2 linked regions of the Kluyveromyces lactis genome follow. The protein of the gene in region 2 interacts with the protein of the main gene of each other region in a biochemical or structural test. Links are inferred from orthologs where the notes say so. Each region holds a gene or a part of one and is shown on either strand. Other genes may lie near its edges. The genes, in order: SEC17 and SEC18.

Evidence for each region.
Region 1: the proteins of SEC18 (region 2) and SEC17 form a complex in vitro, tested with the Saccharomyces cerevisiae proteins (2 studies listed by BioGRID). The link is inferred for Kluyveromyces lactis from reciprocal best matches to the Saccharomyces cerevisiae genes SEC18 and SEC17.

Annotation. Positions count from the first base shown.
Region 1 is NC_006041.1:529,539-532,641, reverse strand, and holds SEC17 (alpha-soluble NSF attachment protein SEC17), read left to right. Parts: upstream 1-1,347; coding exon 1,348-1,377; intron 1,378-1,599; coding exon 1,600-2,448; downstream 2,449-3,103. Other genes in the region: RPL43B (60S ribosomal protein eL43), read left to right, coding at 194-195, 690-966. UniProt on the Saccharomyces cerevisiae protein: SNARE complex protein that binds to cis-SNARE complexes on membranes and is required for vesicular transport between the endoplasmic reticulum and the Golgi apparatus and for homotypic vacuole fusion.
Region 2 is NC_006039.1:1,269,005-1,273,341, forward strand, and holds SEC18 (AAA family ATPase SEC18), read right to left. Parts: upstream 2,796-4,337; coding exon 501-2,795; downstream 1-500. Other genes in the region: RPG1 (translation initiation factor eIF3 core subunit a), read right to left, coding at 1-183; PIB1 (phosphatidylinositol-3-phosphate-binding ubiquitin-protein ligase), read left to right, coding at 3,211-4,191. UniProt on the Saccharomyces cerevisiae protein: Required for vesicle-mediated transport. Catalyzes the fusion of transport vesicles within the Golgi cisternae. Is also required for transport from the endoplasmic reticulum to the Golgi stack.

The sequences.
Region 1 (3,103 bases), on a different chromosome or scaffold from region 2:
ATCTTTCATCCTCACAGTTTTTTCAATTCTGCAAACTTGACGAGTTTCAAACTCATTTACAATACCAACCAGTTTTCATCTTTAGCAAGTGATTAGAATTTAAAGATTGTATAGGTTGTTAACTACGTTTTATAGTTGTTCATATTCACTCTTATATACCCTCCAGAAACCAAGCAAACACAAAGAAACCAAAATGTATGATACCTAATGCACACCGCGCACAGTTATGGGGCCGAAGAACTCAGTGATCGATATAACAAGTTGAACTATGAACTATGATAGACTAGACGATGAGGATTGAAGAAGACGAAGAAGAAGCAGACTGATACGATACAGGCAGACTGACCTGTTCACTAGGAGATGGAATCAACATAGAAGAAGTGTAGTGACAAATGGGTAACTGGAATTATACCATAAGCACAAGAAACTACAGCTAGATGCAAAATTCCAGTGTGATGATTTATAGTGTCAGCTCCACACGCACGACAGCAGAATAAATGACGATCTATTAGACCTCCTCCCCCAAAAAAACTGTTGTTCCTTTAATTGCAACAATTTTACTAACTTTTATATCTGTGTTATTACCCATTCTACCTGTGGTATCGATTCATTACCACCCATTATGTGAACAAATTGAATCGAACTATTGGAATCGGACGTAATGAATACACAATTCATTTTATATTCAGGGCTAAAAGAACTAAGAAGGTTGGTATCACTGGTAAGTACGGTGTCCGTTACGGTTCCTCTTTGAGAAGACAAGTTAAGAAGTTGGAAGTTCAACAACACGCCACTTATAACTGTTCTTTCTGTGGTAAGACTTGTGTTAAGAGAGGTGCTGCTGGTGTCTGGTCTTGTTCTTCTTGTAACAGAACCATCGCTGGTGGTGCTTACACTTTGTCTACCGCCGCTGCCGCTACCGTCAGATCTACCATCAGAAGATTGAGAGACATGGCTGAAGCTTAAGCTTGTTGCATCGTATAATCATGTTATAAGTATCCTTCAATAAAACGTATCTTTCCACTTTGTGTTATTTTATATTCCATCTACCCTATATAACTGATTTAGGCGTGATGGTCGAGTGTTCATCCTCGCGTCCAGCCAAATACCTTGGACCGGCTCCCAGGCCAGCCTATTTGAAAGTCACGTGAATTAATTACCCGGCTGCTGATAGCCTTCCGTTGTTTCTCCCCTTAAGGAATTTCTTTACTTTCTGATGGTAATTAGAATATGTAACATGTAATGATGATACAATGTTGATAGTTTGATAGTAAAAGTTGTAAGCAAGCTCTTGGTTGACAAAAGTTAACAGCATTCAGCCATATCCCACTCAGGTTTTCTTTGAATATGTCGGATGTTAAAGAAATTATAGCTAAGGTACGTTTTTTCTCCATCATTTATGTTGAAAGGTCAAATCAATAAGTCTAGGAAAGTATGATGACAATGGTTGACCTTATTCTCGCCTGAACCCCTAATACTAACAATAAACATATGCAAACCCTAGCCATAATGTGATGAAAGAGGAAGTGATTTATCATTCGTATTCTCTCTTTTTCACTTAATGGTATGGAAACATATCTCATGTCATTTTTGTAATAGGCCGAAAAGAAGGCTAAACCATCATCAGGATTTTTCAGTTTCCTTAGCGGTTCAGACTCTTACCGTTACGAAGAAGCAGCAGATCTTTATATCGAGGCTGCAAACCTCTATAGGCTAAGAAAGGAGTTGGATCAAGCGGGTGATACTTTCTTGAGGGCAGCAGAGTGTCAAATACAGGCTTCTAATGAAGATGAAGCAGGAAATACGTATATCGAAGCCTACAAGTGTTTCAAGACAGGATCTTCTCCAGCACAAGCTGCTGAGTCCTTAGCCAAGTCGATAGATATTTTCACAAGAAGAGGTCAGTTTAGAAGAGGTGCCAACTTCAAATTCGAATTGGCTGAATTACAAGAACAGCAATTACAGGATTACCCAAGTGCCATTGCCAATTATGAAACAGCTGGTGATTGGTATTTGCAAGACCAAGCTATTGCTCTCTCGAATAAATCCTACATTAAATGCGCCGATTTGAAAGCTTTGAACGGTGATTATTTGGAAGCTACCGAGATCTTAAAGAAAGTCGTTGAAAATTCATTGGGGAATAAATTAAGCCAGTGGTCGCTCAAAGAGTACTTATTGAAGATTGGCCTATGTTACCTTGCTGCTGGTGATGTTGTAGCTGCAGATAAAAGTTTGAACGAATCACAATCGTTGGATCCATCATTCTCTCAATCAAGGGAGTTTGAGTTACTATCAAACGTAATTGAAGCTGTAAGGGAAGGTGATACTGAAAAATTATCGCAAAAGATCTACGAATATGATAGGTTCAATAAGTTAGACCATTGGAAAACAACTATACTCTTGAAGGTGAAAAATACAATCGTCGAGGCGGATGACGATCTACTATAAAATGGTAATATTCAACTCATTCTCTTGTAATTGTATTCTTTTCTCTAACACAACTGTCACTTTTTTGGTGGAATAATTATTTTATAAATGGTGTATACCCATTTGTACAACCACATCGAGTGGTTTGTTTCACGTTAACGTCTTTCATTTCCCATTATCAACTATATCGATGCAAATAAGCTTGCCATCTGGCTTGGACGTTTGGAAATTTTGAAGATGTTAATGGTAACGAAAATGTTTTTTAAGCTTCTGACGAACGGCTCCCTTACCGTTTTGAATAAATATACAATTAAGTAAGAAATGTATCACAATTTTTTACATCTTCTTACGGTAAGAAACAAACCTAATATTTCAGAATGCTGGTACAATTTTTAATGAATATGATGATACTTCCTCAGCAAATCTACTAGATGAGCCTACGCAAAAGGCAGTTGATTGATAATATCACTAGATGAATGAAAACACATCAACTGAGGGGTAACATGATCTCTAAAACGTTCAGATAAGAGGACCCTTTCGCATCTTTCCGTAAAAAAAGTATGCAAGTGTAAGAAAAGAAATCAAAAGAATGAAAACCTCAACAGATGCGTTTCCGTTCTTACTGGATCCTGGAGATTGCGGACTATTACTGATTATCCTGAGCATTCGACGAAAT
Region 2 (4,337 bases):
TTCAACACCAAGTTCCAAGAACTTGAAGATTATAGGTTCCAAAGTGGCAGCATCAGCAAAACGAGACCTTCTTGAAGATAATAAATCAAATAGAGATTGCAACGCAGCCATTGGCTCGCCAACAGAGACTAATTCGTCAGCTCTTCTAATGGCATTCTCAGGACGTAAAGCCGGTGGAGCCATGATGAAATGCTAGTATAATCGATGGGTCGAGAACGGTTGTTATCTACCCTTTCTAAATCAGAGACTAGATCCAAGTATATATCTTTATTTTGCAAGGTGCAATAGGAAGAAGTTTCACATAAATAGACTGAAAAGTTTTTTTTCACTTATTCTCTTTGATCTTCAACGGAAGCATGCTGAAAAATTTCAACCTTCATCAAAAGTTGATATCATTGAGAACGAAGTTGAAGTTTATGTGCTATGTCGCGAGTACATATCACATATGTATAATATATATATATATATAAATGTATCATATTAGAAATGAATAGTATAATTCAAGATGATTGCACCATTAGATCAACAAGTTCATTGACGGGATCCTCATCGTGTCTTGCTGTTTCAATGTTTGTGAGTACTTTTTTCACGCCGACGTTGAGAGTAGATGTAACTTGGGATAATTTGCGGATAACTTCGACTCTACCAGCATCGTCAAGAAATCCGGAATCTGTCATAATGTTATTCAGTTCATCTAGGTTTGATACGTTTGGGACAGCAATTTCGTTGTCGAAACAACTTAGTATATCCATTTGCTTAAGCACCGTGTAAGCGGACGTAGTAGAGATGATAAGCAAACGACGATTATTTGGAGGTTTTCTTTTCAAATAGACCTTGAGTACTTGTAGGATATTATTAGAGAACCTTGGACCAATTGGAACCCAGTCAACTAGAGTCTCTATCGAATCGATAACTAGAATGTTAAGTGGCGATTTGTAAGCATCTCTGAAGGTATTGTCGATGTATGCGATCTTGGCCGTTTCCGACATACCTGCTATTTCTTCAGGGGAAATTAATCTAACAAATGGGAACTCAGACTTCAATGCAATGGCGGCAGCTAAGGCAGTTTTTCCTGAACCTGGAGGACCATGCACTAGTAAGGATACTAGTCTTGATTTGTCTGACTCTCTCACTTGACGGACGTATCTAGCACCGTTTTTCAAAATGTCGTCTACGGAGTTGGAGAACCTAAAGACTCCACCTTCTACGCAAGTCTTCAAATCTTCTTCACTAACACCAAACGCAGGAGTCACTTCATCTAACGCATTCAAGAAATCTTGTCTAGTCACCTTCATGTTTGCAATGTCTTTGGTTTTTAGTTTGGTTGCCCCTTTTCCGATATTTACAGTCTTGTTGATTGCAAAAGAACTAGCACTCTTCACCAAACCCTCAATTTCAGCACCGGAGAAATTCTTCGTGAGTGATGCAAGTTCTTTCAAGCTAACATCATGTGCGAGCATGTTGTTTTCTCTCATTTTCTTGGTTTGGATTTCGAAGATTTGTTCTCTACCTTCTTCGTCCGGTAATTGAATTTCAACTTGTACTTCGAATCTACCAGGACGTAGTAAAGCGTTATCAATCAAATCTTTACGATTGGTCATACCAATAACTAAGATATTGTTCAATTGATCGACACCATCCATCTTGGCAAGTAATTGGTTGACAACATTATCACCGACGCCAGTTCCATCACCTCTTGAGCCTCTTTGTTTGAAAACAGAATCCAACTCATCGAAAATGATTATATGTAACGAGGACTCTTCTCCCTTTGCCTTGTATTCAGCTTCCGCGTCTTTGAATAGGTTCCGGATGTTCTCCTCTGAAGATCCAACGTACTTACTCAAGATTTCAGGACCGTTCACGATCTTGGGTTCCTTTGCGTTTAACATAGTACCAATTTTACGGGCAATCAACGTTTTACCTGTACCTGGGGGTCCAAACAATAGAAGACCCTTGACATGGGAGATGCCTAACTTTTCAATAACAGCTGGAGGGAAAATTCTGCTAGCGAATGCCCTTCTAAAAATCTTGGTAAATTCGCGGTCTAAACCACCAACGCCTAAGTCTTCAAATTTGAAATCAGGTCTAATAACGGCATCCGATCTTGGTCTCAGCGAGTTGGACGATTTCAAATTAACCAATCCATCTCTTCCTTTGAAAAAGTTTATCTGAGTTTGTTTGATTAAGATTGCCTTAGCTTCAATTGAGGTAGAAACCGGAGCTACAATTTCTACATCTCCCAAATCAATAGTTTGCGTTGATCTTACTCTTAGATCGAAGATATGTCCCTTAAACTCGAATATCAAGTACTGCGTTGGTGAGAATATTTGGGATTCAAAACTCTTTAAAAATTGCTTAGCAAGTTCATCTTGATCAAAAGGAGTCTCCACGGCTTTTCCTCTAGACCTGAAACTGATTTCCAGATCCACAGATCCTAGATACGCATGCTTGCCCGAATGTTGGAATAAATCGTACGGTTTCACCTGTACATCTTGATTCAATGACCAACCTCCCCAAGTACGTTGGTTACCATTAAATCCAATGGTACCAGGTTGAGTTTCGTTAGAGTGTCTTGTGGTAAACACGAATAAGTTGTCTATAATAACGTAAATATTCTCTGGTAAATCGCTTGGTGAGACAGCTGCCACATTAGCCAATGCATAACTGTTGTTTGGACAGTTAGCGACACGCAATTGTCTAGTACTCATATTAACATTAGACATATCAGGTACCCCTGTAGAATGCGTGGCCTTTCCAAAAGATGGCAACTTGCCACTCAACCCGAATTTCTCCATATTTCAAAAGGGGCGCAATGACACTTATAGCTTTCTGTGAACTCTTGGATTGTCAATTGAAGAAAAAGAATATAATATTCACTCAACTGTATAGTTAGCTTTTAAAGATCTGATAACGATACCTTATATTACTTAGTCTTCTCGTACTGTTTTCAGGCAATTGTCTGTCTAATTGTAGGTAAAGTATTGTTTCTCACCTATTGTTTCCTCGATTTCATGGTTTTTTTTCAGAATGTATGCTGCTAACATTAGGAATTTGTCAACAGAATCAGTTTTATAACAGAAAGCACATCATTTTAAGGATGAGATCATGAAAGCACAATAGTGGCTGTAATCAATTGTCCAAGACAGTAGAGCACTCTGTGAACACAGCAGGTTATTGGCTGCTACATAGAAAATCAGCTGAATTTTTGACATGACTACTGGTGCTCTGGTGGCAGGGCACGTCGATGGTGAAACGATGACTGTCACTGGTTCTTCGGATAATGCAAGGAGAGACAGAGACAGATGGCGGAATGGTAATATTTCCAGTCAGTTTGTGAACGAGTTTGGCGAGTGGGAAAAGGATGAGAATGTGACGCAGTGTCTAAGTTGTGGGATCAAGTTTAGTTTTCTAGTGAGGCGTCATCACTGTAGATGTTGTGGCAGAATTTATTGTGCTACTTGTTGTTCAAAATTCGCATGGTATGATAAAAACCGGGTTAAAGTGGTTTTGAAAAGTCCAGCAGAGTATGAAATGGAACCGTACAGGACTTGTGATTCCTGCTATGAAAATCTATTACAAATGAAGCTACTGAGAACTGCGTGGGGTGAAATACAGTTACCGAAACCACCAAGACGAATCGGAAATTCTATGGGATCTACTTCCGAAATCAACTCCATCCGATCATCGTCCATAAGGCCTTTTGAATTTATGAAGAACCAAAACGTTGTGGAAAATGTACGAGAAACTGAAAGCGAGAGAAATAGTCCCAGGAATATACATGCTGCTGATGAAGATTACGATCGATGTCCAATTTGTAATTTTGACTTACAAGTTTTCGGATCAGAAGAAGCAGCCCAACAAGAACATGTAAGCGAATGCATACGGCAAGCAGAACTTGCTCAACAGCAGCATAGTCTTATCGGAAGTCCAACTTACCAGAACAGAATGCTCGTATACCAAATACCTAAAAACGCTACGAATATTCAAGAGTGTCCAATATGTTTCGAAGAAATGGCTCCAGGACAAAAAGTCGGTAGGCTAGAGTGCCTATGTGTGTTTCATTATCACTGTATAAAGAGTTGGTTTAAGAAGAAGGTACAAAAATTAGCTACGGTGAATTCCGCAACTCAGGACTCTGTCTCCATGCTTGGTAAAAACTACTGTCCATTTCATGACGCAGTATACTACTAATGTGCTTTTTAAGCCGTTTAATATCCAATACTAATAACTACCTAATACATAATTTGCATACAGCACAAACTTGCATACAATATCACATATATATATACCTTCGCTTACTATAAAAGCCACTTGCAGTTACTTGTCCGTCATTATCT